3 linked regions of the Diceros bicornis minor genome follow. The protein of the gene in region 1 binds, or shares a complex with, the protein of each later gene. Links are inferred from orthologs where the notes say so. Each region holds a gene or a part of one and is shown in the gene's direction. Other genes may lie near its edges. The genes, in order: FLCN, LAMTOR4 and LAMTOR2.

What was found.
Region 2: FLCN (region 1) and LAMTOR4 share a complex: the UniProt entries of both Homo sapiens proteins name them as parts of the lysosomal folliculin complex. The link is inferred for Diceros bicornis minor from reciprocal best matches to the Homo sapiens genes FLCN and LAMTOR4.
Region 3: FLCN (region 1) and LAMTOR2 share a complex: the UniProt entries of both Homo sapiens proteins name them as parts of the lysosomal folliculin complex. The link is inferred for Diceros bicornis minor from reciprocal best matches to the Homo sapiens genes FLCN and LAMTOR2.

Annotation. Positions count from the first base shown.
Region 1 is NC_080757.1:736,743-747,104, reverse strand, and holds the start of FLCN (folliculin), read left to right. Parts: upstream 1-6,096; 5' UTR 6,097-6,200; exon of another isoform or gene 6,201-6,258; intron 6,259-7,259; exon of another isoform or gene 7,260-8,358; intron 8,359-8,511; 5' UTR 8,512-8,632; intron 8,633-10,362. UniProt on the Homo sapiens protein: Multi-functional protein, involved in both the cellular response to amino acid availability and in the regulation of glycolysis.
Region 2 is NC_080765.1:5,493,306-5,502,727, reverse strand, and holds LAMTOR4 (ragulator complex protein LAMTOR4), read left to right. Parts: upstream 1-4,900; 5' UTR 4,901-4,949; coding exon 4,950-4,976; intron 4,977-5,461; coding exon 5,462-5,542; intron 5,543-7,359; coding exon 7,360-7,477; intron 7,478-8,116; coding exon 8,117-8,214; 3' UTR 8,215-8,464; downstream 8,465-9,422. Other genes in the region: TRAPPC14 (trafficking protein particle complex subunit 14), read right to left, coding at 9,324-9,422. UniProt on the Homo sapiens protein: As part of the Ragulator complex it is involved in amino acid sensing and activation of mTORC1, a signaling complex promoting cell growth in response to growth factors, energy levels, and amino acids.
Region 3 is NC_080743.1:59,699,916-59,709,748, forward strand, and holds the start of LAMTOR2 (ragulator complex protein LAMTOR2), read left to right. Parts: upstream 1-6,833; 5' UTR 6,834-6,964; coding exon 6,965-7,032; intron 7,033-7,332; coding exon 7,333-7,495; intron 7,496-9,643; coding exon 9,644-9,733; intron 9,734-9,833. Other genes in the region: UBQLN4 (ubiquilin-4), read right to left, coding at 325-483, 2,380-2,642, 3,206-3,423, 3,820-3,971, 5,711-5,818. UniProt on the Homo sapiens protein: As part of the Ragulator complex it is involved in amino acid sensing and activation of mTORC1, a signaling complex promoting cell growth in response to growth factors, energy levels, and amino acids.

The DNA of each region.
Region 1 (10,362 bases):
AAAAACAGGAGGATTGGCAACAGATGTTAGCTCAGGGAAAATCTTCCTCAGCAAACAAAACTTTAAAAAATGTTTCTCTCTCACCAGCAATATTCAATTTTTTAAAGTGTGTCAACTTGTGTAGTCGATCACATTTTCATTATTTACATAAAGCAAACTGAAACCTCATGAGTCACAGTAAAAAGTTGCCCCTAATAGAGAGGCTTTGGGGGTCCTGTGGCCTATTGTGATAACTGCTCTGCTTCACTGTAGGAAAGCAGCCACAGGTGATCTGATACATCAGTGAGTGGCTGTGGCTGTGTTCCAAAAAAATTGATAAAAAAATAGGTAGAGCTTGGGATTTGGCCCCTCATTTAAACCGTCAAATTCTCCAGCTCAAATTAGTACTGCTGTGGGCTGCACATTTTCACTTAGGCTTACACATTCCTGTGTAAGAAAGAAAATATTTAATGGAAATGTTCCTTTTGTCAGTGTAGCGAATTATACTTTAAAAAAAAGAAAACAAATTGGACAACTTCTGATTTACCTGGATCTGAATTAAAATCACCTAAAATGTGTTTGAGAATCCTAGTAGCTGCCAGTCTTGGCTATTTAAAGAGTAACTTGGGGCCGGCCCGGTGGTGTAGTGGTTAAGTTCACGTGCTCCACTTCAGTGGCCCAGGTTCGTGGGTTCGGATCCCAGGCATGGACCTTCATCACTCATAAAGCCATGCTGTGGCGGCGTCCCACAAACAAAATAGAGGAGGATTGGCACAGATGTTAGCTCAGGGACAATCTTCCTCACCAAAAAAAAAAAAAAAAAAGAGTAACTCTCTTGTGGAATTCTAATGAAGTGGACACTTAGTTTTTTCCCAAAATGGATTCATTAAAACACATTATTTTGAAACTTTGACCTCAAAAAGGGGTATGGTATTTAGGGTCCCGCTTCACAGGTTCAGGTCCTGGGCGCGTACCTGTACCACTCATCAGCCATGCTGTGGTGGCAACCCACATACAAATAGAGGAAGACTGGCACAGGTGTTAGCTCAGGGCCAATCTTCCTCAAGCACAAAAAGAGGTCCTACTGTTTGCCGACCACGCATCCTCGTCCCTCTTGTGTCAGTGTAGGAAGGGGAGTGCTAGTTGTTGCTATCTCTCAGCTTTACACCCACCTTTATATATTCTTTCTGATTCTGGGGCTAGCAGTCTGCAATCCACATTTTTTTTTTGCCAGCAGGAGGCAGACTAGAAGGCTAGGGAGGAAAGAGACAGGCTCCTTCCTCTCTGTGTCCTGTTGAAGAGTCAGACCCCAGCAACAGCCCTCACCCTGGCAAGGACGGTTCAGCAGCAGCAGCGAGCCCCACGTGTTTCCCACGCTCCTAGAATCAGCCTCATCGCACCTCCTCAGAGATACTGGCCCCAGGCGGCAGGCCTCCCCTACCTCCCCACACAGGTTGGGGACCCAGTCTCTTCCCTTTGTTCCCCCAGCCCTAAGGGGGGTATCTGCTTCCTGCAGTTACTACAGTGGTGAAACTTTTTTCCCTTCTCCAATACCTGGTTACTGGATCTATTAAATTGTTTCTGTTCAAGAAACTGGCGAGTGGTTTGTCTCACTTGACAGGAGTTACTTTTGAAAATCTTACAGGGTCGAGGAGTTTCGTGACCTTGTTTGTCACTAAGAAGAGAATATAAGACTTTGCACATGCTGCCTCTGAAAATATGTTGCCTGGCTATGCCTGTGTCTTGTTTTTGAGTACTTATCAAAATCTGTTTGCTGAATAGTCTGCTTACTGAATCTGTTTGCTTGAATATAGACTTAGCTGTTTCTTTGAGTTAATTCTCAGCAGCAAATTATTTTGGGCAAATGTCTATTTATGAAAACCTATAGCATTTTGATGGTGCCAGAAGATGGTGATTTGCACCTAGGGAATTAGGGCAGTTGCTGAGGTCCAAGGATGTAGCCTTGGGTTGGTGTTCATTAGTGGACCTATCAGTTCTCTGAGGACTTTTCAAGTTTGTCTTTTCATGGTAATCTCAAATGTTAATAAATACTCCAGATTAACGAGGATAAGTGCCCTCAGAAGTCAGCACTGAATTACATATGTGTTTTTATTCATATTGGTACAAGTGAACTACCCAAAGGGACAATGTGTAACTTTTAATATAGGTTTTCTTAAATATGTATGCTTGATCTGAGAAATCTCCAGTTTGGGATATAGTGGTAAAAGGTATTCTTTAAAGAAACATCTGGTTGCATGTTTTTGAAATGGCAGTCGATGTTTTCTGAGCCAATGAATGGTACTAACTGGCAATAAAGCAGTGGCATTTTTCTGCCCTGTATGCCTGTATGGATGGCACCTTCTTGACCGTGTTTAGTAAATTGAAATCCCAAACAAAACTGGGTGATAGAACATTACTGTGAAAGATACCCACTAGCCTTAGCAATACAATCATGCCTGTGTAATCTAATCAGGGACAAATACTTTTACTTTTCTAGCAAACAATTTAGCAGAGGGGAAGTTAAGTCTTAGGTTTTCAGGTGTGCTGAACTGTTGGTGTTCACTGGTGGACCTACCTTGTTCAAGTTCCCTCCTCTTTCTATGCCAACGGTCAAGTTGCATATTAATTCTCTCCTGTTACTTGCTTTTCAAAGATGCAGTTTTAGGTTTAAGTCCTAAGTTTCTGGGTTGCAACTTGAAATGGTAGTGAACTTGTAGAAGAAAATGTTGTTTGCACATAAGTCTGAGTGGTTGCAAAGGGCCCAGAGAAAATAAATGACTGGGTAAATCAGATATTTATGAAGAGGAAAATGTGATGGCTACTTTTTTTAGGTAGCTGAATTATTTAATGATGGTAAACAAAGACAAAATCCTATCTGTCTCCTTTCCTGAAATCGAAAGTTGAGACCATGGTCCCGTGGCTTAGCGGTTAAGTGCGCGAGCTCCGCTGCACCGATGCACCGCTTCTCCGGCCATGCTGAGGCCGCGTCCCACATGCAGCAACTAGAAGGATGTGCAGCTATGACATACAACTATCTACTGGGGCTTTGGGGGAAGAAAAAATAAATAAAATTAAAAAAAAAAAAAAAGTTGAGACCAGAGAACTTTAATTGTAAAATGCATTTAATAAGCCTAGATCCATAATGAACTGTTAAAGTTTATTATGAGACTAAAAAGAAACCACTTGGTGTTTAACAAGCAGCTATTAGATTAAAACACAAAAAGCCAATCAGCTGAATTCTCACTGGGGGAGGGGGTTAATTTTTAAAAGCTTTCTGAAAGTGCTATGGTAAAAAATGCTAAATTAACACTAGTGGTTTTCTTTTTTTTTTAGAGAAAATATTGGACTACTAATAGTTCTTGCCTTGCAACTGGCTGGACACCTTATCTGCAGAGTTGATAGTCTAATAACCTAAAACCTTAAGTTGACTTAGAGGTTGTACGTGAGAAACTCTACCCATTGTTGGCTGCCTTTCAGCAGCTGGCCAGATTCCCAAATTGTTAAACACAGGGGATGTTGTCTTGGTTGTTAGAAGAAAGGAAAGCTTAGATTATTAATTATTTTTATAACAGGAAATCTATTATACTACCCTTAAAATAATCAGATGTGATTAAAAATATTAGCTCCAACTGCTTACAAATGAAACATACCCCTTCTTCCTGAAACTGAAAACTGATTCAGGGACATGGTGGTTTGACTCAAAGATAAAGCCCAACTGTCGTCTCTAGCTACATGACAGCCTACCTTGTTAAGGGTACACCTAAAAACCTCTGCGAGAAATTTCACAGCGAGACTTGATTTTACTTCACTTCACTCTGTCAGTCTGGACGCTCAGCTGTCAATACCTTTCAATTAAGCCTCTTAGTTTAGTGGTAGGCAGACAGACAAGCGTCAAGAAATCTTTATTTCTGATCGAGCCCATTTCCGTGGTGAAAAAACATGTTCTGGACTGTAAATGCCAGGCACTAGTATATCCAAGGCTTTTGGTAACATTTCATAAAGTTCCTATTACAGATAGAAGCTTTGAGTTTAGCACAGTATTTCATTTGGTTGAGCGTTGTTAGGTGTTGTTGCCAGTTTTGCTTTTTCACTGATAATGTGGGGTACATTTTCTGACTTCTAAGATGTCTCTTTTGTTGAATGTCCTTGAAAATTATACTCTGAGAGAGCCCAGTGTAATTAACCTTTGGTACAATTCACTGAGGCAAGGAACTGGCATGTAGTTGCTGCTTTTAAACAGATTTATAGGTTTATTTGAGAAAGTACCTCCAAAAGAGCTAGGTGGCTGAAGCCAGCGGTGCTGGGAAAGATATAAATGACATACATGGAGTCCAGCTGCAGTCGAATGCACACTGGATTGTACTGAAAATGGCAGAGGTTGAATAAACCTTCCTCCACTTGTGACCTTCATTAGCCTATCATTACAGAAATAAGGATAATCTGAGCAAGGTAGCAGCCTCCACTAACAAACAGAGGCAGTTAATTCCTGGAATTAAAGTTACAAGATGAAAAAAATATAGTTTTTTCTTATCTTAAAACCTGACTAACCAATGTTAGTTTCAACACCACCTACCACTAAGAGAAAATGGGAAAAAACAAGATTACCAAAAAAAAAAACGGAAAAGAAAAAAATATTCCTGTCTTCCTGATTGAAGCAATAGTATACACAAGTGGATTAAAAAAAAAAAAAAACTAATCTTCTTGTTAAATGAAAACAGTCATGGTAACTGAAAATTTCAGAAAGTTTTGTAAGTTCTTTTTTATTAGTGTGGAACTCAGTTAATCAGATTCGCGTTCAGAATTGCTGTGGTGGCCATTTTCAGGGTGAATCCTGTTCACCTGGACAACGTGGAAATGTTTTCTTTTAGGAATTGGAAAGGCACAGCCACACAAGGAGGCTGCAGACACTTTCTTGCACCTTTCCTTTAAGGCTTTCAGAGTATTTTGCAACCTCAGTACAATTCAAGTTTCTGAACTGTTGATGACAAAAGTAAAAATAGAATTCCAAATCAGTATACCCTTGTGGGTTTTTTATTGTTGTTTCTGCAGAAATTATCCCGTACTTACTGGCCACCACCCTGTCTGTGCTGTCCAGGGTCAGGAGGAATTGGATTGGTAAGAATAATTAAACACATGACGGCGACGCCTAACCTCCTAGCTGGCCCCCATACTCCTTGGTCTTGACCGCCGCAGTACAAGACGGCAGAAAACAAACTGCAGTTCGTCCTGTCCTCACGCCCCCTCTTCACAACACGGAACTTCAGAGAGAGAGAAGGAAGTGACCTAGGTGACTTAAAAAACAAAACCGCGCGCGTCCACTGGAGGATGGCCGAGCGTTCTGCCGGCGCTTCGCGACCAGCAGTGTGGACACGGCGCCCGGCGCTCCGCGGTGAGGAGCCCACGGCGGGGCCAGGGCCTGCGGATCGCGCCGACACGAGGTGGCAGCACCGCCTCACGGGTCAAGCCCAGCTTCCTGCGGTTCAGGGTCTCTGTCCTCTCTCCAGCTCCTCACTCTAAGGACCCACATTACGTCATGCACTGACGGCTTTAAGGTCAACTTTTAAGTAGACAGACTGAATAACAGGCGCCAGGGTTTTCAAAGCATTGTTACTTACTGACATATTTTAAAAACTTGGACATACCGCTCGCGTTGGTGAGCGGGCGGGGGTGGGGGAGGTCAGGCACCAGCGCACTCCCGCCCCGCCTCGGGCACAGGCCCCGCCTCCTGCCGGCACGTCCCACCGCGGACCGGGCCCATCGGCAATTTAATAAAAACCTACGATGAAACAAAAAGAAACTGTAGCGCTCTTTATAACGTCAAGACGTTCTCTCTCTTTTCCTCTTCGGTGTGGACCGGGAGTCCTGGCTGGCTATGTTTTTCCTCAAATCTCTTTAAAAAAATTTTTTTTTAATTTAAGCATCCCCCCTCTTGAAGTGGTTTCGTCCAGTGGCCCCAGCTGGGGCGGCCTGAACCATTCCGCAGCTCCCCCATTCCGCAGCTCCCGGTGGGGGCGCCGACGGGGCGGCGGGCGAGGGCGGCGCGGACGCCCTTCGGCTGCCAGCCCTGCCCCGGAGTCGCCCGCTCGCGCAGTCGCCTCTGGCGTGCGGCCGCGGGCGCGGCTCCGCTCGCCTCGCGGTCTGGGGCGCCCCCGCGGAGCGGCGATGGTACGGCCCGGCCGGGTCACGCGCCTCGTCCCGGCGGGCGCGGCGGCGGGACCCGGGTGAGCGCGGCGGCCGGGGGCTCGGGGGCGCGGGCGGTTCCGGGCCGCCGAGCCCGAGGTGAGGTGTGCGCCGCCCGAGTGCGGTCCGGGGCGGGGCGGGGCGGGGCGGGGCCGGGCCGGGGCCAGGCGGCGGGGTCGACCCGCGAGCCCGAGGCGGGGCTGTCGGGTACTCCGTGGAGGCGTGGGGGCCTGGGGAAAGGCCGGCGGGGCCGCGGGGGCCGCTGGATCCGAGTCCGGGGGCGGAGAGGTCGGGGCCTGAGGGGCGGGGCAGCCTGGCGGCCTTCCGGGTAGCCGAGGGGCGCGCCGCGGTTTGCCTCGGTGCGAGGCGGGCTGGTTAGCGCCGGGTGGCGAGGGCCAGAGCGGAGGGGCACCGAGGCCCTGAGGCGGGAGGGGTGGGCGTGGCGGAGCCGTTAACTCGAAGGTGGCCTGGCCAGCGTCGCCGGCCTCTCCTCCTCCCGTGAGGCCGTGAGGCGCGCTCGGCCTGCCTCCCGCCCGCTCTTTGCCTGCCCTCGGGTTTAGGGTCGTAATTCCTCTTCTCCCGGCCAGCGTTCTGAGGGGCACTCGAGGAGCCGCAGGCCCAGATCAGTGTCCTCCGGGGAGGAGAGACGTTTCTCCGGCTGCTGGGGACTGTCAGACGCATCCTTGTCACCTGGAAAGAGTTTAGCCCAGGGATTGGCTCGCTGCGGGTGGAGGTCCAGGGTGGTCATCAGCAGCCATCGGAGGCGGAGGGCAAGGAGGAGCTTGCGGAAAGGAGGTGCTGGTTCTCCAGCCCTTGGACAGCTGGCACCACCCATGGTGTCCATCCAGGGTGGCAGGGGTCTCTTTGCCACAGCAGAGAAAGTGCTGGAGGCACTAGGTTACAGCGCTGTCATCAAGGAATTGCGTAATAGCGGCACGTGACACTGCTCTTTGAATGTCCTCCGGTCAGTGAGCTCTGTAAGCAGAAGTCCAGGTGAGGTCGGTGGAAACAGTAGAGGCACCACGTGAGCGGTCTGAGCTGGAAGTAACCCCCTGCGGCGCTTTCCTCCTGCGCTTGCTGCCCCCCCCCCCCCCCCCCCCCCGCCGCCCACTGCAGGAGGCTCCCCTGCGGGTGGCTCGTTCAAGCAGCTGCCGGGGCTCTGATGTGCACCGCGGGTTAACAGCCATTACAGTACCGAGTTTATTGCCACGTGTTCCACTTAGCGGCATCTCGAATCATCCGTGGTCCTGTGAGAAGACCGTGGGCAGTGGGGATGACACAGATCCGGGCGCATCACAGGAGTGGGAGGATAATTTGGATGTCACTGTCCCGGTCGGGGGGCTCAGCCACTGTGGGAGGGAGATAATGTTCGTGGGCAAGGACCCAGCTCTTTGAGGTAGGTGAATGCTTGCTTGGAGTATAATGTTGAAGAGACAGTTGGGCAGGGGAAGATTTTTTCTTCTTTGGATTCTAGAACATTTGTTGGAAAGGAAGAACTGTTAGGCATACTCAAACCAGATTGTTTTTTTCAGCAAACATCTGGTAGAGATTGGAATTGGGGAGTGAATAAGGGACCAATCTCCTGCTACACAGAATTCTGATTCCATGTGTAGTGGTTATCTCTGAGAGGGAGGTTTGGCCTGTTTCTCAGCTTTAGGGTGGTGCTGAGAGAGATGAAGTAACATATTTGACATCACCTGGCTGGCAAGGGCTGGAGACGGGTGCTTTTCTGACCCAGTAGGTTTGTGTGATTGCACAGCTAAGTGTGATCTATCTCGTGTTGTCTCACTGCCTTCCAGTGGCTGCGGCTCTCATGATCCAAACAGTCAGAACTCTTGTCAGGCAGGAGTGCTTTTGTTGTAAAACCAAAGAAAAAATAAGAGTAGCCCAAGTTGGTCCTGGATGCTGGAAGTAGCTTAGCAGCATCACTCTGGTCCTCTCATTTGAGGAGGAAAACTTGTAGGCCCTCGGTCTGAGGGGTTACATTGGCGTGAAGTGGGTGCTGCCAGAGCGGCCCCTTTATAACCAAGAGTTGGAAGGGTGAGGACTTTATGTTTTTTAATATTGTATGTCTTACAGAGACACTTAACATGTAAATGTGTTTCAGGAGACCGTGTATGAAACGTTGCTGTAGAGGTGTAAAACTTCAGCTGAGGCTTGGGCTGCAGTGTCGACTTGCTGTCAGCTGCTGCTCAGAAGGTGGGAGGCCTGCTACGCGGTTCAGAACCGCGGGAATCCCCACATCCTCTGTGGTGATGTTCTGATTTAAGGTTGGCTGTAAGCTGCTTGAATTTTTTCACACCACGAGGCCCATGGCTGTTAGAATTAGCTCTGCTTTCTTTTCTCACCTAGAGAACGTCGGGTCTTAGAGCTGAAGTCTGACTGCGGTTGCCCTGCCTGACTCATTTGGAAATGGCCTTGTGTGCTCTGGCCTAGGCGGCGTGGTGGACGTGTGATTCTGCTAGGTGTGAAGGTTTGTATGGACGCTCTGCAGATGGGGTGAGCCTTGGCCAGGTGCTGCTTGCACGTGGCTGTCTTTCTAGAAGGAAACCTATTTCTCTTTCTCTTCCCTTTTATGCCTCTGGAAGGAAGCCATGGCCTCCGTTTCCAGGGTCAACACTTCTGCCTGGACTCTGGGCCCCGATTCCTCGTCTTCTGAGGTCCTTCTTCCGTCAGTGGTCGCATCACCCCGTCTTCCATAATGGATTTGTAAACCGTGTTCCTTGAGCACACCATAGTGAGCCTTGTGGACCCTTTATTTAAATTCAGTTTCTTTGATTCCGTGACACTAGGCTCTCTGACTCTTGCGTTCTCCATGGTTGTGCTTTTGAACCTCTCCTGCCCGTAGATACCCTCAATGAGCTCTCCACCTTCTGTGACAGCTGTCTTCTCTCTGTGAGCAGCTCCTTTATTCACTCATTATCCAACACTTATTAATTTGGTGCCTACTGTGTGTCGGGAACTGTTGTAGACTAGACAAAGTCTACCCCTCAGGGAACGTTCATTCCAGTACAGTAAAGCCAGGGAAGGGGAGAGAGTGTTGGGGGTGGAGGTGAGTGGCTCTTCTGGGTGGGCTGATTAGGGGGGCCTTTCTGAGCAGGGGACATGCAGGGAGAGGCTGAATGGTCAGGAGGAGTGAATCCAGTGAAGGTCTGGGAGGGGTTCCAGACCTTACCCCCAGCCCTGCCCTCTCTGATACTGCAGACCAGAATCTCCATGGAACTCGCAAGGCTTTCCAGCCAAATGTTCTCCTGTCTCTTAAACTCTGTCTCCTCTGCCGCTGCCCACGTCTCTCCAGGAACAGCCCAATACCTGGCTCTCCATACCTGCCAGCACCCCTCAGGTCCTCCCGTCTGATCCTCATGCCTGACTCACTGTCGGCCCAGCTGACTTTCTCTTCCAATGTCTGGTTTGTGTCGGCTTCTGCCATTCCCTCTGTAACCACTCCAGCTCCAGCTCCTGCCTCAGGGACGAGGACAGGTGCAGCGGCAGCCATGTCAGCTGAGAGGTTGATTGCAAAACTTCAGGTGGGTGGCAGAGTGAGTGGGCAGGCTAGAGAAGCGGGCTCTGAGCACAGCCGCCAGCAGGGAGGCTGCTCAGAGGGCACATTGAGGGACAGGCCATGAGCAGGTTGTTGAGGATGCTGTACCCGGGACACACTCCCCCAGGGGACTCCCTGCCCCCACTGTGCGTGTTCATACTGTCTGCACTTGGCCTCCCTCCTCTGGGTTCAGCGTCCCAGGCAGGCACCTCTGACTGGCCAGGCTGTGGTTATGCCCGTGCCTGCCTAGTAGGTGATGAGGACAGAGGATGTCTGACCTTCTTTGGCTCCGTAATGGGGGCCAGGGTCCCCGAAAGAGAAGAGGGTTTTGGATCCTGACCAAAGTCCACTATTCAAACATTCAGAAATTTAAATGGTTCCTCATTGTTTTGAGCAAGGCTGTCCAAGAGAACTACCTTTGATGATGGAAATGCTCCGTCATCTGTGCTGCCCTTTTAAAATGGTGGCCGTGAGCCACATGTGGCCTGTGAGCACCTGAGACATGGCTGGTGAGACTGAGGAACGGGGCTTTGCATTTCAATTAAGTTACATCTGAGTTGCCACATATGGCTCATGGCTACTGTATTGGACAACGTGGGTCTGCAGAATACACGTTCCCTCTTTAGCCTAGCTTCCAGACCCTCCTGTGTGACACGTGGCAG
Region 2 (9,422 bases), on another chromosome or scaffold:
AGAAACCCTGCCTGAGTTCCAGCCTGCGGAATTCAGACACAAGAATGCAACATCAACTCTTCCCTGAATTTCCAGCCTGCTGGCCTACCCTACAGATTTTGGACTTGCCAGCCCCCACAATTGCATGAGCTAATTCCTTAAAATTTCTCCCGCTCTCTATCCCTCATTCTCTGGAGGACCCTGAATAATACAGTGGTTAACTTATGGCTAGTTTCTGTTGGTTTTGTGTCTTCACCACCCCCCTTAGCATCCTTCTTCTTTTCAATCCAGATTTTTTAAAAATTTTATTGTTTGCTTTGGAACTAGACCTCCTTGCCTCTCACACACAACTTCCTTCTTTCTTATTTTCCTAGAACAAATTATTACCCTATCAAAGAGCCATCAACAGACTTCCCAACTGCTTCTCTACCTTTCTTGGTTCTCTTAACCCTGACACATCCATTCAACCGGCACTTTTCGAAGACGATAGGGGTAATAGTCAGGCGCTTTGGAAATAAAATGTTGAAGACATCACACCCTGATTCCCAGGCTGCTCAGGTTGTAAGTGAGTTGGCGGGCAAACAAAGAGTTGCAGTGAAGTGTAGTAAGTGGTACACTAGAGATGTAGGTCCCTTAAGATCCTGGTGGGACAAGGTGTGTGTGTTGGGAGGGGTTGAGCTGGGGGTGAATAAAGGACTGTGTGGTTTCCAGTCAGGAGGCTCTGCGAGGCAGAGAGAGGGAGTGTTGAGGTCGTTTGGAAATGGCTTGGACAGGAGTGAGGAGGCCAACTCTGCCACTGGGATGGATCCAAACACATTATTTCACATCTCAGGATTTGTTCCCTCCTTTTCAAAAGAAGAAAGTACCGTGGAAGGGGAAAGAGCAGAGTTAGAGACCATGAGGCCAAAGAAAAAGTCTCTAAAAACCAGAAAGAAGTTCTGGGAGCAGCTGGGACAATATAGAAAAAAAGTACTCAACTTGTAGGTTAGCAACGTGCTAGGTGCTGAGGTCGACACCAGCATTTCAAAGGGGGACCAGGTGCTTATCTTCAGGGAACTCATAGTCTAAAATAAGCTCAACGAGCACTCTTGAGAATATTCTTACTCTGGGCATGTAGACACCCACACAGCTCACTCCCTCAGGTCTCTGTTCAGTTGTTGCTTCATCAGAGAGGTTGATCCTGCCCATTTGATATAAAATAGCACACCCACCACCACCCTGACCTTCTATATCCTCTCACTCGACTGTGTTTTTTAACTTTTTACTCAAGTATAATATATATACAGGAAAAGTTCTCATGTCATAAATGTACAGCTCACTAAATTTTCACAAACTGAACGCACACGCGACACCAGCATCCAGATCAGGAAACATTATTACCAGCCCCCAGAAGCACTCCTCTTGTCCACTCTCAACCCTTCCCTCATGGATAACCACTATCCCAATTTCTAACAGTGTACTGCTTTTTTACTCCACATAAATGGAATCACACAGAATGTACTCTTTTGTAATTGACTTCTTCACTCAACATCAAGTTTGCGTGATTCATTCATGCCATTGTGTGTACTTTTAGTTAATTCATTCTCATTGCTCTATAGTGTTCCTTTGTGTGAGTGTGACACAATTTATTTATCCATTCAACCATTGATGGGTATCTGGGTAGCTTCCAATTTTGAGTTATTAGGAATAAAGCTTTTATGAACATCGCAGTACATGTCTTTGAGTGAACATACGTACATATTTCTGTTGGGTATATGCCTTGGGGTGAAGTTGCTGGGTCATAAGACCTACTTTGTTTTTTTAATTATTAAATCTTTCATGTATTAAAATAAGTGTGTATGTATGTACACAGAGAGAGGGAGAGACAGAGAGACTTAGAACTTAATAAACAGAATATTACTGCCATAGTCCATTCAGGCTGCTATAACAATGTACTATCGACTGGGTGATTTATAAATACAAACATTTATTTCTCACAGTTCTGGAGGCTGGGAAGTCCAAGATGAAGGCACTGGCAGATTCGGTGTCTGGTGAAGGCCTACTTCCTGGTTCACAGATAGCCTTCTGTGCTGCGTCCTCACAAGGTGGAAGGTGAGGGGTCCCTGGGGTCTATTTTATAAGGGCATTAATTCCATTCATGAGAGCTCCACTCTCATGGCCTAAGCACTTCCCAAAGTCCCCACCTCCAAATACCATCAAATTAGGGATTAGGGTCAATATATGAATTTAGGGGCGGGGACAAATATTCAGTGTACCTATAGCAATTATCAATACTTTAAAACCCTTTGTGTCTCTCTATCCCATCCCCCTCTCTATCTCAGAAGTAACCATTATTCAAAATTTTATTTATCATTCTCTTAATCTTTATTATTTTGAGACACAGTCATGTACCACATAACAACGATCTGGTCAACGACAGACCAGATCTACGACAGTGGTCCCATAAGATTAGTACCATATAGCCTAGGTGAGTAGTAGGCTATACCACATAGGTTTGTGTAAGTGCGCTCTATGATGTTCGCACAACAAGGAAATCACCTAACAATTAATTTCTCAGAAACTATTCCCACTCTTAAGCAATGCATGACTATATATGGATAGATACAGATATAGATACATAGATAAAGCACTAAGTAATACTTTATTAATATACAATATATAACAATAATATATTAAATAACATTATATTAATATATTATACAATATATAATTATTATATAAATTATTTTGTTTTTCATGTTTTTGAACTTGATGTAAATGGAACTCTGCTTTATTTTTCTTCATAGCACTTCTCACCACTTAACATTTATTTTCTTATTTATTTATTATCTGGCTCACCCTCTCCCTCACAGCTCCTTGAAAACAATTAAAAAATACGTCTTGTTTTTATTCAGTGCTGTACCTCCAATTCCAGGAAGAGTGTCTGGTACCTAAAAGGTGCTCAATAAACACTAGTTGAACAAAAGAATGAGCAACTTCGCTCTCCACAGCAGTAGTGTGATGCAAGCTGTTTGTCAAAATGAAGCAATTCTAACGATGGCTGATGAGCATTGTCCTGCTAAGGGCTCCTCTGTGTCAAGAAAAATGAGAACAGGGAATTTCTGAGGTAAAATTAACTGTAACTTAAAAAAAATAATAAACGTAGTTGGCCGATGGAGCAATGGAAAAAGCAGCAGCCTCAGCATGAGCAGACTTAGACTGGATTCTGGCTCTGCTGCTTGCCAGCTGTGTGCTTGTGAGCGAGGCTCAAATTTTTTTGTTGCCACTTCTCCATGTGCAAAATGGGGATACTATTATAGAGTGGTTAATGAGAGAGTTAGGTGAGTGTATGAATGAAAATGCTCTGAACAGTAAGCGCAAAGAAAATGATACTACAAAGTGCCATCAATATCTAAGGCCTGGGGAAGCTTTGCTAATTATGCATCTCCACAGAACTTTCTCTCTCTAAATCCTCCTCCAATTTAAAGTTTATATTATAAGCATACCTCATTTAAAAAAAGGTATCCATCTTTTCTAATTAGCTTTCTCCTCAACCAACAGTACTTATTTTTTTGCGATATAATACACATACTGTAAAATTCAACATTTCAAAGTGTACAATTCTGTGGTTTTTATTACATACACAGCATTGTGCAACCATCATCACTATATAATTCCAGAACATTTTCATCACCCCCAAAAGAAACCCCATATCTATTAGCAGTCACTCTCCATTTCCCCCTCCCCCAGCCCCTAGCAACCACTAATCTGCTTTTTGTCTCTATTGATTTGCCTAGTCTAGCATTTCACATAAATGGAGTCACATAACATGTGGCCTTGTGTGTCTGATTTTTTTCATTTGGCATAATATTTTCAAGGTTTATCCATGTTGTAGCATGTCAGAACTTCATTCCTTTTTATGGCTGGATAATATGCCATTATATGGATATGCCACATTTTACTTATCTATTCTTCAGTTTATGGATATGTGGGTTGTTTCCATTTCAGGGCTATTATCAATAATGCTGCTATAAACATTTGTGCACAAGTTTTTGTGTTATCATATGTTTTCAATTCTCTTAGGTATATGTTTAGGGGTGGAATTGGTAGGTCATAGATAAACCCTATATTTAACTTTTGGAGGAATCGCTGATCTGTTTTCCACAGCAGCTGCACCATTTTACATCCCCAGCAGCCACGTACGAGGGCTCCAATTTCTCCACGTCCTTGCCAACAAGTACTAATTGTTTTATTTCTAGAATCATCCTTCATTTTACCTCACCAATACTGCCTCAGTCACATCAGTATTGCAGCAGGTCTATAAACTAAATTAAAACAAAAAATTTCTATGTTACACTCAGATATTAAATAATGACTCCAAGTTACTGTTTCTAATTTTTCCCGGCAGACGGTATTCAGTATTGCAGCTGCCTCGGCTAGCGGGGGACTCAATTCACCATCACCCCGTCCCTCACAGAATCCCTGGACGAAAAACCACTTCTGAACAAATCCCCCTCTTAGCTGCCTGGAACAGGCAAAAGAGTAGTATTTCAACAGCTTTTCACACACATTTCACGTCACTTCTCTCTATTCTTGCAGTCCTACTCGTGGGCAATCCCGCAGGGGTAGAACCCGTACCCACCACCCCCTGCGCGCGCTGGGGCACACCCTCAGCCCACGCCCCTCTCTCCGACCCCGCCCCTCCAGGCCGTCCCCTCCGCCGACACCTCGCCCTCTGGGCCTGAAGGGCGGGGAGATGAGTCTTAAAGAGAGTCTGCGACCAATCCGCGCGCATCTCCAGGAAGCGGCGCTCTGCACTGGCAGATTAAGTCTGATGACGTAGCCACAATCCAATCCGCATTCTGGGGGCGGGGCTAAAGTCTGGGGGCGCAAGGCTGGAGGAGGAGAACGGCGGGTGGAAGCACGTGACCTGGGTCTGGAGCCGGAAGCTACCGATCTGGTAGGGAGCGGCCCCGGTACCAAAGGCTGCGATGGTGAGTGAGGACGCATGCGCGGGAGTACGTACCGGGGGTTTTGCGTCGCTGTTCCCCAGTCTCTTTGTTTGCCCCCTTCTAGGTCCCCACTCTGCCCTCACCTCGTCACTGCCCAGGACAGACAGGGAAGGGAGATGAGAGGGGTGGCGACGTAGAGGGCTGAGGAGAGATCTGTGGGAGGGTGTACGGGGGCCTGGCGAGTAGTCTGCGGGGGAGGGGCGGGCCATAAGGGGAATTGGAGAGGGGGCTGTGAGGAGGGACCAGTGGGGTAGCAACGGTGGGATGTGGAAGGCCGCGGGGTTGCGGGTTTGCGGGGGGCGGGTCCAGGGGCAGAGTGAGGACAGAAGGAGGCTCAGGAAGATCAGTGTTGAAGGCCATGTAGAGGGAAGAGGGTCTGGAAGGGCCTTGGGTGGGGAAAGAAGCCTGGGGGGCCATTGTCAAGAGACACTTGGGTTTGCCAAGGACCATCCTCCCAGCATGCTTCTCACTGATTCATCTTTACCCACTAGACTTCTGCACTGACCCAGGGGCTGGAGCGAATCCCAGACCAGGTCGGCTATCTGGTGCTGAGTGAAGGCGCAGTGCTGGCGGTGCGTTCTGGGAAAGGGAGGCGGGGTCCCCCAGGTACACATGGCCCGGTGATCTCTTCCAGCGTTGCCCCGTTTGACCTAATTTGTCTCTCGATCTTTTCCTGGTATCGTGCCTTGCCATATAGTAAGCTTTCAGGAATTAAATCTCTGGAATCTTAGTCTCATAACTGTTCTGAGGTAAAAGAGGTTTACTAACTTTACCAAAGTCAGCCCACTAGTTACAGGTTTGTTGATAGCTGCTGTTACCCGAGTTATTCTCGAGTATGTCTTTATGTGGTATTTGTTGAAGAGGCTTTGTATTTTGTTCCATAGTACAATATAGTGATAGCTCTCTAGAAGTTTTCAATCTGGCTAGAGAGACAAGGCTAAAGCTTAAAAGTTGAAAGCAATGCAGGTGGTTAAGGCTACTGATGGAGTCCAGAAAATGAAGGATTCAACCCTTCATGTTATAACTTGTGTTTGGGCAAGGAAACTTTCTTGGAAGAGGTAAGAATTCAGCTGGGCTTAAAGGATGGATGGTTGTGAACAGGCAGAAAAGAAGGCGAGTATTCAAGGCTGGGAGGTGGACACATTTGTGGGAGTGTGGTACCAGCCTGTCTAAATTGGCGCTGGGTATATGTTGAAAAGATTTGCGGGGAAGAAGAGGCTGTGGTAAGGGAGGATCTGATTGTGGAGGACTGTCAAGGCTGGGTTAACACATTTGGATTAATCTTGAGGGTAATAGGAGCTTTGAAGGGTTTTTGAACAGAAACATGAGCTGATGAAGTGATTGAGTGAGACTGTTCTATCAGGTCTGAAGATGGGCCAGGAGGGGCAGGATTCGGAAGCAGGGATGCTGCTACTGAAATTTAGGGATGAAACAGAGCTGGTGGCAATGAGAAGGAGCAAGGAGAGATTTTAAAGGAATCAATATATCTCGGTAATGACTAAAGATGGGTAACAGACAAGATACTTCTCCATCCAGTAATACTTGGAATTCAAGCCTAGAATGATGGTGCCTTAACCAATTGGAAATTAAGAAAGGAAGTTGATTGCAGAGGGGGAGAGGTAAGGGGAATTTTGATGGCTTAACTTGAGACACTGAGTTTGATATAGAATAATAAGATATATTGCTAGGAGCTGTTCTAAGCATCTTGCCAATATTATCTTACATAACCCTCACAATGAGCCCATAAGGTAGGTACTGTTGTCCCCAATTTACAAATGAAGAAACTGAGGTACAGAATGTCCAGGAGAACAAAGGGCACTGAACTTAACCTAGTGGGTAGTGGGAGGCACATATTGAGGAGGAAGTTGAGACAGTCACCAGAAGAGAGGAAGCCCAGGCCACTGTCACATCACTACCCAAGGGTTAGGTAGTAGGGAGGCGTTCAAGGACAAAGGGGCTGTTTATGTTTCAGATTCTGCAGACAGAGCAACAAGTGGAAGACTGAGGAAAAGAGGGGGCCTTGAACAAGTCAGTGGTGGGTAGGCACTGATGTTTGAGAATGTGGCTTTATCAAATAAGTGGGGACAGGGAGACATATCAAGTTTCAAGGGACTAGGAAAGAATGGTCAGTAAGGAAATGGATGAAGAGTCACTGCTTCTCGGGGGAAGCCCAGTATTATAAGGATGAGAAACAGGGTGGCAACAAGGTGGGCAACAACATCATAGGAAAGTTTTAGGTTTGTTTTTCCAAAACTGAGGGTGACCTGGGGGTATTAGAAAGTAGATAGGGAGAGATTACAGGTGCTAGAGCCAAAGTGACTGTTCCCGGAATTCTTTCCCAATTCTGTCCCCTAATTTCTGCCATCCTCCTTCCTCTGTCTGCCTGCAGTCATCTGGGGATCTAGAGAATGACGAGCAGGCAGCCAGTGCCATCTCTGAGCTGGTCAGCACGGCCTGCGGTTTCCGGCTGCACCACGGCATGAATGTACCCTTCAAGCGCCTGTCTGGTGAGTCCCAGCCCCTGCCCCTGGTGGTGGTGGTGTGGGGGCGGGGGGGGGGGGAGGGGGCGTGCTCCCAGGGGCTTCTCTTCTCAGGGAAGCAACACCTGTCTCCTACCAACCTCCCACCATCTCCCCCTGGGGTCGCTGTTTTTGGCTACTTACTTCCCCTTGGGATTCACTCCTGCATCAGAATTATGAGAAAGCAAGAGAAGGAAGGGGATTTCATGGAGACCTCCCATCCTCAAATCTCTGAGCCTGGAACTGTTGAATCTCTTGGACTTTTTTTTGTGTGTGTGAGGAAGATCGGCTCTGAGCTATCATCTGCCAATCCTCCTTTTTTTTTGCTGAGGAAGACTGGCCCTGGGCTAACATCCATACCCATCTTCCTCTACTTTATATGAGATGCCGCCATGGCATGGCTTGACAAGCGGTGCGTCAGTGCACGCCCAGGATCCGAACAAGCGAACCCTGGGCTGCCGCAGGGGAGTACGTACACTTAACCACTTGTGCCACCAGGCCGGCCCCGAATCTCTTGGACTTTGATCCCCACCAGTTTGTGTGTGACCCCATAGAGACCACCACACCCCCCTAACTCTGTGCTCCCTTCCCTCTCCCCGGGCGGGGGAAGGTGTGTCTCCCCTCCAGTGGTCTTTGGAGAACACACGCTGCTGGTGACCATATCAGGACAGAGGGTGTTTGTGGTGAAGAGGCAGAACCGAGGCCGGGAGCCCATTGACGTCTGAGCCTGCCAGAGGGTGAGGGGCAGAGGTGGACTGGGTCCCTGAGCCTCTGTGATGAGGAAGACGCAGACCTCCTCCACCTCTTTCTTGGCTGCCTGCTAGAACTAAGGCTTTCTGTCACCCACTTCCTCAGCCCTACCTGGAAGGGCAGAGGCTTGGGACTCTATGTTGCACTATGTTAAAGAGAATGAGGGCAAGGGGACCTTCCTCTTCCCTCCCTTCCTCCTAATAAACGTGAGTCTGATGTTCCTGGGCCCAGGGATATGTGTATGAGGGGTGGGTGTTACGCCCCAAGTCTGTCTGCCACCTGGAGAGACAGTTGTGTACCTCAGCCCAGAGGGGTAGGGCAAGGCCACCTCTGGGCATATAAAACTAGGAATCAAAAAAAAAAAGGGTGGGAAGGAGCTGAGGGGAGTTATGTGGTGTGCATGCTGAAGGGATCATTCTGAGCCCCTGGGTCTCTCCTGCCACCAACACACAAACAACAGTCCTTCTCCCTCCTGAACAGGCGTTTAATAGTCTTATTTCAGTTGGAAGCAGTCATTGAAGAATAACTTACAGGAATAGACAGACAAAAAAACCCCCAAAACCCCACACAACTTAAAGTGCTTCAGGCTGCAAACGTAAACATGAAGGGCAGGAGGAGGCCACCTAGCTATCTCCCCTGACCCTTGAGCAGGAGGGTCATTGTCATTGTCAGGGTCCCTTTACCATCACCACCCTCTAATCTCGGCCCTGCAGGTGGGTGGGCAGGAAGGAATGTCAGAGGCGGGAAAGACAACTTAATAGGAATGAGGAAAACACTTTGTAAACTTAGAACCAGGGTACGAGGCAGGGGGCAAGGGAGCTCTTGGAGGCCTTGCCCTGGCCGAGGGGTGGGGCCAGCCCCCCCAAGGAGGTCAGGGAAATACTGTTGGCTTAGTGCTGCAGCCATACCCGCCGACTTCACAGCTTCTTCCCTCGTCCCTCATCAGCAGACACAGACAGGCGGCCCTGCTGGGCCTCCTCACCCATGGTGGGAGGCATCCCAGGGGAGGCACAGCCCGGAGAGAGGACGCCCTCTGGGGGCTTTTGATTTCTGGGAGTGTAAGAGGGAGGAGAGCAGCTGGGTGCTACTTGACAGGCTCCACCACCAGGACCTTGCACTCGCGCTTGGCAATCTTGTCCAGAGAGAGCACAGCCTTGTCCGGAGGCAGGTAGAGGGGGCGGCC
Region 3 (9,833 bases), on another chromosome or scaffold:
TCGGCTGTTTGACCCCAGATCTGCCTCACAACCTTTGAGCCCCTGGTGCAAGAAATCTGTCAGAACAACAGTCAAATTCCTTGGACACTACACCTCGCCCACTTCCCTGAGGAACTCTGCCGTCTTTTGCCCTAGTGCCTCAGTCCCATGCCAAGTTGGACCATCCCTGGCTATGCACTGTGAGAATTGCTCTCAAGCCAAGGTCTTCCCTTAGGGGGCTGGGGAAGGAAAGAGGAGCGGACAGCACCCCAGGCTTGCCTGGGTCTGGGGGAAGGGAATCCCGAGCCCAGACAGCCCTCCCACTGCCCCCATCCCTGGCCCCACCTGTTCCCGGGCAGCACTGAACATGGGCTCCTGGATGTCTGTGTACATGCGGCGGAGGGCATTATACCCTCCGGGGATGCTCTCCAGGTTGCTCAGGGCCCGGTCCTGGTTCCGCATCATCTCCTGCATCATGGCTGGATTCCGAGCAAGCTCCATTGTCTAGTGGAGAAGGGAGAGAGACAGAATGGGCCCTGGAACCAGGGGAGCACCAAGCTTGGAAATGCGTGGGCCCTGAGGAAGGGGTCTGCATCAGGACCAGGGCCCAGGGCCCAGGAACTGCCCCACAGTGGCAGGGAGTAGGTTGAACTGGGCTTCCTTTCTCTACTGTCCCTCATCTTGGCTCCAACCCTGCGTCCTTGTGGGTATTCTGGTTGGCTTTTTCTAGTGGAGAACAATGATCCCAGATGGGGTGAGGGCAGAAGCTTCGCTCCCTCAGGTTCAGGGGGTCCTCAGAAGTGTCAGGGAGCACAAGGAAATTGAGTAAGAAAAGACACAAAAAAGGGGAGGAGGCAGAAGAGAAAATTAACATCTACAAACTACATATACTACACACAGGCACTGGACTAAGCAATTTACAGAATTCAAGTCATTTAATCCCCATAACAACCATCCCCAGGAGGTATTTCTGTCACTACTCTGCAGATGAGAAAATAAGCTCAGAGACTCACAGCCTGGGGGACACACAGCCAGTTAGTGGAGGAGCCAGGTTTCAAGGCCAGGTTGGTCTGTCTGATCAAGGCCATACTGTGGAGCCTGGTAAATGACCACAGTCGGGGAGGGAAAGGATTCAAGCTGGGACAATGCTACTGACACTCTCAACACCGCCCCCCAGGTCTTGGCCTGACTGAATCTTGAGAAACAGTGAGGATGGGGGCTTTCTTTTTGGAGCTAATGGCTCACTCTCAATTAGGGGTGGCCTGTGTCAACTCCAGGGGACAGACAGCAGTGCATGATAGAAAAAATGGGCACAGCTACTTCTTGTCCTCATGCAACCTGGAATGCTTCCCCTGTCCTTCTTCCCAAATTTGCTCCACACTTCCCTCTTCTAAGACACCTTTACGTCTAAGACAAGACTCTGATCTCTTATCCCGATTCATTCACTCAATAAGTTTTTTTTTTCTTTTGTGAGGAAGATCAGCCCTGAGCTAACATCCATGCCAATCCTCCTCTTTTTTCTTTTTTTTTTTTGCTCAGGTAGACTGGCCCTGAGCTAACATCCATGCCCATCTTCCTTCCTTTATGTGGGACGCCACCACAGCATGGCCTGACAAGCGGTGCGTCGGTGCGCGCCCAGGATTCGAACCCGGGCTGCCGGCAGCGGAGCGGGCGCACTTAGCCACTATGCCATGGGGCCGGCCCCTTGATAAGTATTTACTGAGTGACAGCTATGTACCAGGCACTGTTCTAGACAGTAAACAAAACACTTGCAAATCCTTGTTCTTACGGAACTTATCTTCTAGTAAATCCAGCATTAGCTCTACTGAGACTGTCTATCCTTGTCTCCCCGTGGATTGGGCCGAGACGGAGCTCCCAAAGACCAACACAGAACTGCGTCCCCTGGGTCTCCCTCACCCACCCAGCCCTGCCCAGCCACAATGCTCCCCGAACATCCTACTGTCTTTTACTCCCAAGCCTTTGTACTTGTTGTCCCTCGGCCCTGAACACTCTTCTCTTTTTCTTCCTCTGGCTCATTCTTCCTTCTTTGGGTCTCAGCTTGGGTGACACTTCCTCTAGGAGGCCTCCTCTGAGCCCCAGGGTCGAGTCAGGGGCCCTTTTCTGTGCTCCTAGGGGATGCTGTGACTATCTCTATGATAGCACCAATCCTGCTGTATTATAATTGCCTGCTTACTTGTCCCACTTCCCTTTGAGACCATAAGTTCCTGGAAAGCTAGGCCTGTGTCTTTCCATCACTGTACCCCCAGTGTGCAAAACACAGCTGCTGAATGACTGAATGAACAGTTCAAGTTAGGACAAGGTGGGAAAATGCTAGGCAGGGCAAGGCTGGGTGCCAGGTGTCCTCCACCACCCACCCCTCCAACCTTCTCTCAGACCCACCTGCCTCATGAGCTCGGGGTTGTTGAGCATGTGGCTGATCTCGGGGTTCCGCTCCATCAGCTGCTGCATCTGGGGGTTGGCCATGATCATGTGACGCATCAGGTCGGGGTTAGACATCATGTCCTGGACCAGGGGGTTCTCCATGATCTGTGACAGCATCTCGGGATTGGACATGAGCTGCCTCTGCATCTGCTGCTGCAGTTCCATGAAGTTGGCAGAGCCCAGGCCCAGGCTGCCCAGGCCCAGGATGCCCCCAAAGCCAGCTGTGGGGAGGGGGCAGCGTCACAGTCTGCTGCAAGAGCCCTTCCCCCACCTGGCCAGAGCCACTGAATTCAGGTCTCTGGGACAGGCCCCCTCTGCTTCTCACATCATTCCCACAGCCCCAGGCCTGATCCACTGCTGGAAAGAGATGTTAGCCTACTAGACTGAGAGCTCTTTGATGGCAGAGACTGAGAGCCGGGCAGAGTATTGAGCACAGAGAGGGCACCAGTGATGGCCTGTTGAATGAGTAAATAAATATTCCCCAACTGGCTACGGTTGGACCCACTTTTTCCCCAAACTCCAATATCCTCACCCAAGGTTCCCCACATCCCCAGCCCCATTTCTCCCTTCACTCTCAACATTTAGCCATGCTCCTCTCCTCAGTGAAGCACTCACAGACTGGTTTCCTCCCCTACTTGGCTCAAATACCAATATCTGGAATTCTATGTCCAGGGGTCTCCTATCCCCACCAGACCAGGAACAAGGACCATGTTTTTGGCTCCTCTTGGCTCTCTCCCACTCCCCAGCCCAAAACAGGACTGTGCCCTCCTCCCTAAGGGCTTACAGAGTATGGATGCAGTAGCACTGGGAGGTCCCTCCCCAGCCCCTGGGGAGGGACCCCCCCCACTGCTCCTCCGGCTTCCACTGCCAGCATCTGAAGTGGCACTGCCAGAGGTGGAGGGCTGGGCAGGGGTGGCGGGTGAAGCAGGCGTGGTGGAGGGTGCTGAGGCAGGGTCTGGAGTGGAGGGGGAAGAAGCAGTGGCAGCAGCTGGATCTTGAGCCCTGAGGACAGAGAAAGACAAGTCCTAGGTGAAGTGATCACAAGAAGAGAGAAGACAACAATCTAGAGTTTGCTGGGCAGCTACTGCCCTGACCTAAGCCACCTCCTCTGCAACCCTGAGGCGGGGGTGGGGTGATGCCAGGGACACAGTCAGTGAATCAGACAGAGGGAGGGAGGGAGAAGTTAGTATCTTCTGTCTTCAGGGCATTCTGGGAGAGGTACGTCAGGTTCCTTCCCCTGGAGGGAGACCACAGGGCTGTCCAGCAATCCATCCAAAAGCCACCTTCATAGGCCAGTGGCATAGGCCCTCTAGGTACAGTTGAGTGACAGGTGAGAAAGTATCAGATGGGGAAAAGAAGCCCAATCAGAAGTTGGACCTGCTCCTCTCCTGAACTTACTTCTGAGGGGTTTTGATGACCAGATGGACAGTGAGCCCATCTTTGATCCCATGCTGGTTCAGTGTGTCCCCATCCTTGAGGATCTTGCCTGCGAAGATCAGGACCAGCTGATCCTGCTGAGCCTTAAACCTCCTGGAGATTTCCTCTTTGAACTGTGATCAAGAGGCAGAGATCACTATGGAGGATGCCTGGGCTCCACCCACCAGTCACCCTGCCTCTTCTTCAAAAGCCTCTGGGGCCAGCCCGGTGGCTTAGCGGTTAAGTGTGCGCACTCCGCTGCTGGCGGCTGGGGTTCGGATCCCGGCTGGGGTTCGGATCCCGGGCGTGCACCGACCCACCGCTTATCTGGCCATGCTGAGGCCACGTCCCACATACAGCAACTAGAAGGATGTGCAGCTATGACATACAACTATCTACTGGGGCTTTGGGGGAAAAATAAATAAATAAAATTATAAAACAAAACAAAACAAAAGCCTCTGCATGCCCTTGCTCCCAACGCTAGTCCTGGGAAGTCCCTTCTGCAGTCCCAACTCCATCCCTCCAGCTGCAATAAGCAGCTCCTTTGTTAACCATGGAGATGGACCAGTGAGAGGCTCCCCTCTCAGCTCTACCCCAGGGCCTCTCACCCTAGAAAGCTCTTGCTGCTATCTGCCACTCTCTCCTCAGTCCCTCCACCAGTCCCCTGTGAGGGTACTGCCTTGGGCAGCTCTCTGCATCCCAGTTCCTTCAACAGCCTTGGACCCACACCTTGTCTCCCTTCAGCATTCTCTTCTCAGACTCCAAATTTCTCTCCTCCTTTTATTTGCAGCGTTCTTGTAACAACTACAACAAATAGATCACTAACTATTCACGAGTTAAGAGTCTAAGTCCCATGAAATACATATTAATTATTATCTCCATTTTAAAGATGAGAAAACTGAGGATCAGAGGAGTTAGGTAACTTGCCCCGGGGAGAATGAAACTCAGGTCTTGATGCCAAATCCTAGGCTCTTAACGAAACACACTGCCTCTCAATTAGAGCTGATTACAAATTCAGTTTTGCAGGGAAAAGTATTTAAATTCTGGACTGTAGTCATTTTCTAAAGGTGGGGGCAGCGATGGCACAAAAGACTGGCTTGGGGAGAGTTAGACTCCCCAAATCTATCAGCCCCTCCTAAAACAAAACAAAACATACACTCTAAGTAAAAACAGTGCACTTGCTGAGCAAAGGGAGCTTCCAGATCCCTCCCTTCCAACCAGATGGCCTATCTCAAGCCCCGCCTATGTGAAATTCTGGAGAAGCCACAGGGGGGTGGAACACAGGCAATATTCCCTCATTCACTCATTCAACATATTTTTATTGAGCACCTACTGCACACTGTAAATCCCAGAGGGGCTTAGAACCAAATGTAACCACCTTGATTGGAAAGAGTAGGAAGGATCTGGGCAGAGGGAATCCGCCCCCCGCCGCCCAGGCGTCAGAGAAGGCAGGGGCGTTCTCTGGGGCACACAGTAGGCGCCCGGAGCTCTCCGCCGGCGCCCCTCGCCCGGCCCCAACTCTGCCTCGGTGCCTCGAACCCCGACCAGTAACCGGGACGCACACTACCCTCAAACCCAGGGTCCTTCCCCCTTCCCCGTGCAAGGTGTCTCCTCCCCACACTCCACCACGCCCCCAGCCCAGGCCACAAGGCAAACCCCGGCCTCCCTTCCCCAACACGCGCCACGCTCCCCCAGATTACCCTCGCAGGACGCCCTCAACCCTCCTCTGCTTCCCTCCCGCTCCTCCGAGCGCCTGCTGGGCCCCCGCCCTCCTCTCCCTGGCCCTCCGGTACACCCGACCGTCTCTAAGCCACCCCCTCTCTTCGCAGACCCCTCCTTCGCGCTCCCCTCACCCCCCCGCCACCCTTATTACCTCCTTGACCGAGGCTCGATCGCAGATCACAATTTCCTCCTTGTCTTTGGGGGTCTTGACGGTGACCCGAATGGGGGGCCTCGTCTCGGCCCCGCTCGGCTCCGCCATGCCGCCGCCGCCACCCGGCCGCCCGCCAGCCCGCCCCGGCTCCTCCTCCTCCTCCCCGCCCGCCCGGCCGGCCCGGCTCCGGCGCCTCCAACCCTCCCCTCTCCCCTCCCCTCCCTTCCCCAAGGCTTCGTCGCCCCCTCCGGACCCGCCGCAACCACAGCGCCCCGGGCGGACCGGGGGGGGCACTGCAGCGGGGTCCGCCCTAGGCCGAGCCCGGGGTCCGGCAGCCTGGACAGGGCCTCGCTGGGGGGTGGCCCCTGGAGGGGCTCGGGGCGGGGGCGGGAGAGTCCTTCATTGTGGGGGCGGGGGCGAGCTCCCCGCGAGAGACCACCGCCCATCCTAGCCGGCCCGAGCCGCGCTGAGGTCCCCTTCGGTCCAAAGCGGCCCCCGCCCCCTCCGCGGGTAACTCCTGCTCCGGGACAAAGGACTTTCTGTATCGTCGCTTTATCTCCGTTCCCTGTGATAACTGGTCTTTCTCGGGAAGCCCAAGTCCTTTCCAGATCTGAGGCCTCTCCCGACTTGGAGGTTGGATTTTCCCACTTCTGGACGTCCACCTAAGATCTCATCTCTAGGATTGACTCTATTCTCCCAAGGGTCGTGGCCTGAATGAAGCCTATTAAGTACGGTTTCAGAGACCTGGGTTTTGCATACATGGCCTTTCTGAACCTTGATTTCCTCAATAGCATCTTTCTCCTCATCCCACAGAACCGCGCAAAACGTAGAAAACAGCTTTGAAAAGTAACCAAAGGTGGGCCTGAGAAAAAGCGGGATTTTTTTTTTTAATTACTGAATCGTGGATTGTCAAGCAGACATGATGACTCTTCTCTCCCCGAGGGCGTTAAATGTCCTTCCAGTACTGCCACTGTCCTTTTACTCCCGCTCTTTTCCCCCATAACCGCGTGGTCTCACTGGAAAGGCGAGCCATAGTTCCCAGAGTGCCTCGCGAGGCCGCAAGCAACTACAATTCCCGGTGACCCCCGCGGTGGGGCGGTGTTGAGTCAGACCCACACAAGCCAGGCCAGGAAACTACAACTCCCGGGACGCTCCGGAGCAGGGCCGCTGGACTACGGGAAGCGGCAGGCAGAGGCCAGCAAGAGGCAACTCCGGGATCTTGGGTGCAAAAGCCCAAGGTTAGGAGCCGCAGGCATGCTGCGTCCCAAGGCTTTAACCCAGGTGCTAAGCCAAGCCAACACTGGAGGTGTCCAGAGCACCCTGTGAGTGCGGACTGAGGACCCCAGCGCGAGCACTGGAGTGGGGCGGCGCGCGGCTCTCCAAGGGAGGGGTAGGGTAGGATCTCCGGGAAGGGAGGAGGTGGCAGAAGGAGCAGGGCAACAGGCCGGGATGGCTCCTCTCGAAAAGAGAAACCGACGTGGTGGGTGCTCGGGGCATATCCCAGGACACCCTCAGCACAGACCCTTGCTTTCTGGAAGCGCCGGTGGCGGGAGTTGGGACGGAAATTCAGGCATTTTACTCCGATCTTGAGCATGTCACTATCCCTCCCCGTCCCTTGCCAGGCTGCTGAATAACGAGGGATCTCTTCTGGCCTACTCCGGTTACGGGGATACGGACGCCCGGGTTACCGCAGCCATCGCCAGTAACATCTGGGCCGCCTATGACCGGAACGGGAACCAAGCGTTTAATGAAGACAATCTCAAATTCATTCTCATGGACTGCATGGTATGGAGAGAGGAGCTACTTCCTCTGTCCTCGAAGGGGATTCCCAGGGGGCGACCCGGACCCCATCCTGGATGGTTGGAGGGGCAGGGACAGGATCTCTGGAAGATTACTAAGAGTTGGTCTGCAGCAGCATTTATAATAGGCAGGACCCTATGCATCAAGTGGTGGTGAGGGAGGAGCCCTGGACCCGAGGTCTGACTGGGGTTCTGGTCTCAGCCAGCCACTAACATTTGTGGAACCTTGGGTAAGTCACTTAACCTCTCTGAGCTTCCTTAGCACACCTCTAAGGGGGAAACAATACACACAGGGTTGTTGTGAAGATCAAATGAAAGAGTGGATATAAACCGTAGGATGATGTACAGACACAAAGTGTTGTCATCCCAGATTCACAGACTCAGGGAAGAATGGCACAGTCTCCAGACACTAGTCCAGTCCCTTCAGTTTACAGAGAAAGCAGATGAAGTCCAGAAAGGGGAAGTGGCCATTAGGCTGTGAACTTCTTGGAAACAGAAACTGTCTCACTCACCTTTGTATCTGTTCAGTCAACAAATTTTTAGGTCCCTGCAATGTTCTCGGGACTTGGAGAAAAGTAGCAAACAGGACAGACAAAAACTATTTATAATGAAACTTAGTCTTAGACATGCTTTAAAATAAGTAAAATATGTATGTTTTGTAAAATAAGTGTGTAAATATGTTTTACAAAATAAGTAAAATATGTATATAAGTTAAAAAAGTAGTATGTTAGGTATTGAAAATGCTGTGGAGAAAAATAAAGCAAGGAAGTGAGATAGAGGCGGATGTGTGTCAGGGACAATCTCATTGCAAAGGTGACATTTCATCACAGATCTGAAGGAAGTTGGCAAGCCATGTGGCTGTCTGGAGGAAGAACGTTTCTGACAGAGAGAACAGCAGATGCAAAGGCCTTGAGGCAGAATGCTGCCTGGTCAAGGATCAACAAGGTTGATGTGGCTGGAGTGGCATCAGAGTGGCATGGGGAGGTTAGTAGGAGCAGAGTCCAGACAGGCAGAGAGTGTAGCACCTGGTTCCCAGCACTCGCTGGATACCTAGTGAAAATTTGCTGAACCAAATTAAAAAGGCCTCAACAGGGGCCGGCCCCGTGGCTTAGTGGTTAAGTGCGCGTGCTCCGCTGCTGGCGGCTGGGGTTCGGATCCGAGCGCGCACCGAGGCACTGCTTGTTAAGCCATGCTGTGGCGGTGTCCCATATAAAGTGGAGGAAGACAGGCACAGATGTTAGCCCAGGGCCAGTCTTCCTCAGCAAAAAGAGGAGGATTGACAGATGTTAGCTCAGGGCTGATCTTCCTCACACAAAAAAATAATAAATAAATAAATAAAAATAAAAAGGCCCCAAGAATGAACTCTCCAGAAAGGAATTCCACTGTAACTCAGCTGCCTACCTCATCCTTACCCCCTGTGCAACCAAGGATGTCATTTCAGTTCAACTGATGACTCCTCCTGGGTGCCTAGCTTAGAGCTGGTGCTTTAGGGCAATAGCTTTCAAACGCTTTGATCACAACTGGGCCAAAGGAAGTACATTTTAAGTCAGAGCCCAGTGCACATATATACCCACTAAAACAAAAGTTTTGCGAAAAAGGTCTCGGCTTACAACATGCAATGCACTTCATTTCTCTTCTTTTTTCTTTTAATGCTGATCACCTTCTTAATTGATCTCCTAACCCTGGGGTCAGACCTGCAGTTTGAAAAGCATTACCATGGGAAAAGAGGAGAAGCATAAGTTGGGTTACTGCTCTCAAGCCCCTTACATTGTTTTGGGGTGAACCCATAATAATAATCTCACCCATTTGGACAGCCCTTTGCAGATACAAGACTCCTTCATGTGTACTGGCGCCCTCACCAGCTGGGGTGAGGTTGGGGTTACAGAAAGAGAAACGGAGTCCCTGGGAGATTGAGTTTCCCAGCGTAACTTGGTTAGTAGGTGCCTGTGCTGAGGCTGGAATTGGGGTTCAGGACCCCATGTCCAGGGCTGTGGCCAAAGCCCCACTGCTGAAGCTCCTGCGTGTGCCCAGGGCATGGGAGGAAGATAGAGTCTCTCTCAAGAGGAGCCCTTGGGGAAAGAGGGGGCTAAGGTGCCAAGCCGAACATCACATCCCATGATATTGTCCCCACCAGGAGGGCCGTGTAGCCATTACCCGAGTGGCCAACCTTCTGCTGTGTATGTATGCCAAGGAGACTGTTGGCTTCGGAATGCTCAAGGCCAAGGTGTGTACATGCCCATCCCTCTGCAGTCCTGGGCCCAGCCTTTGTGCTCCATCACTGTCTGTTCCCATCCCCACCACCTTCCTGCAGGCCACCTGTCACC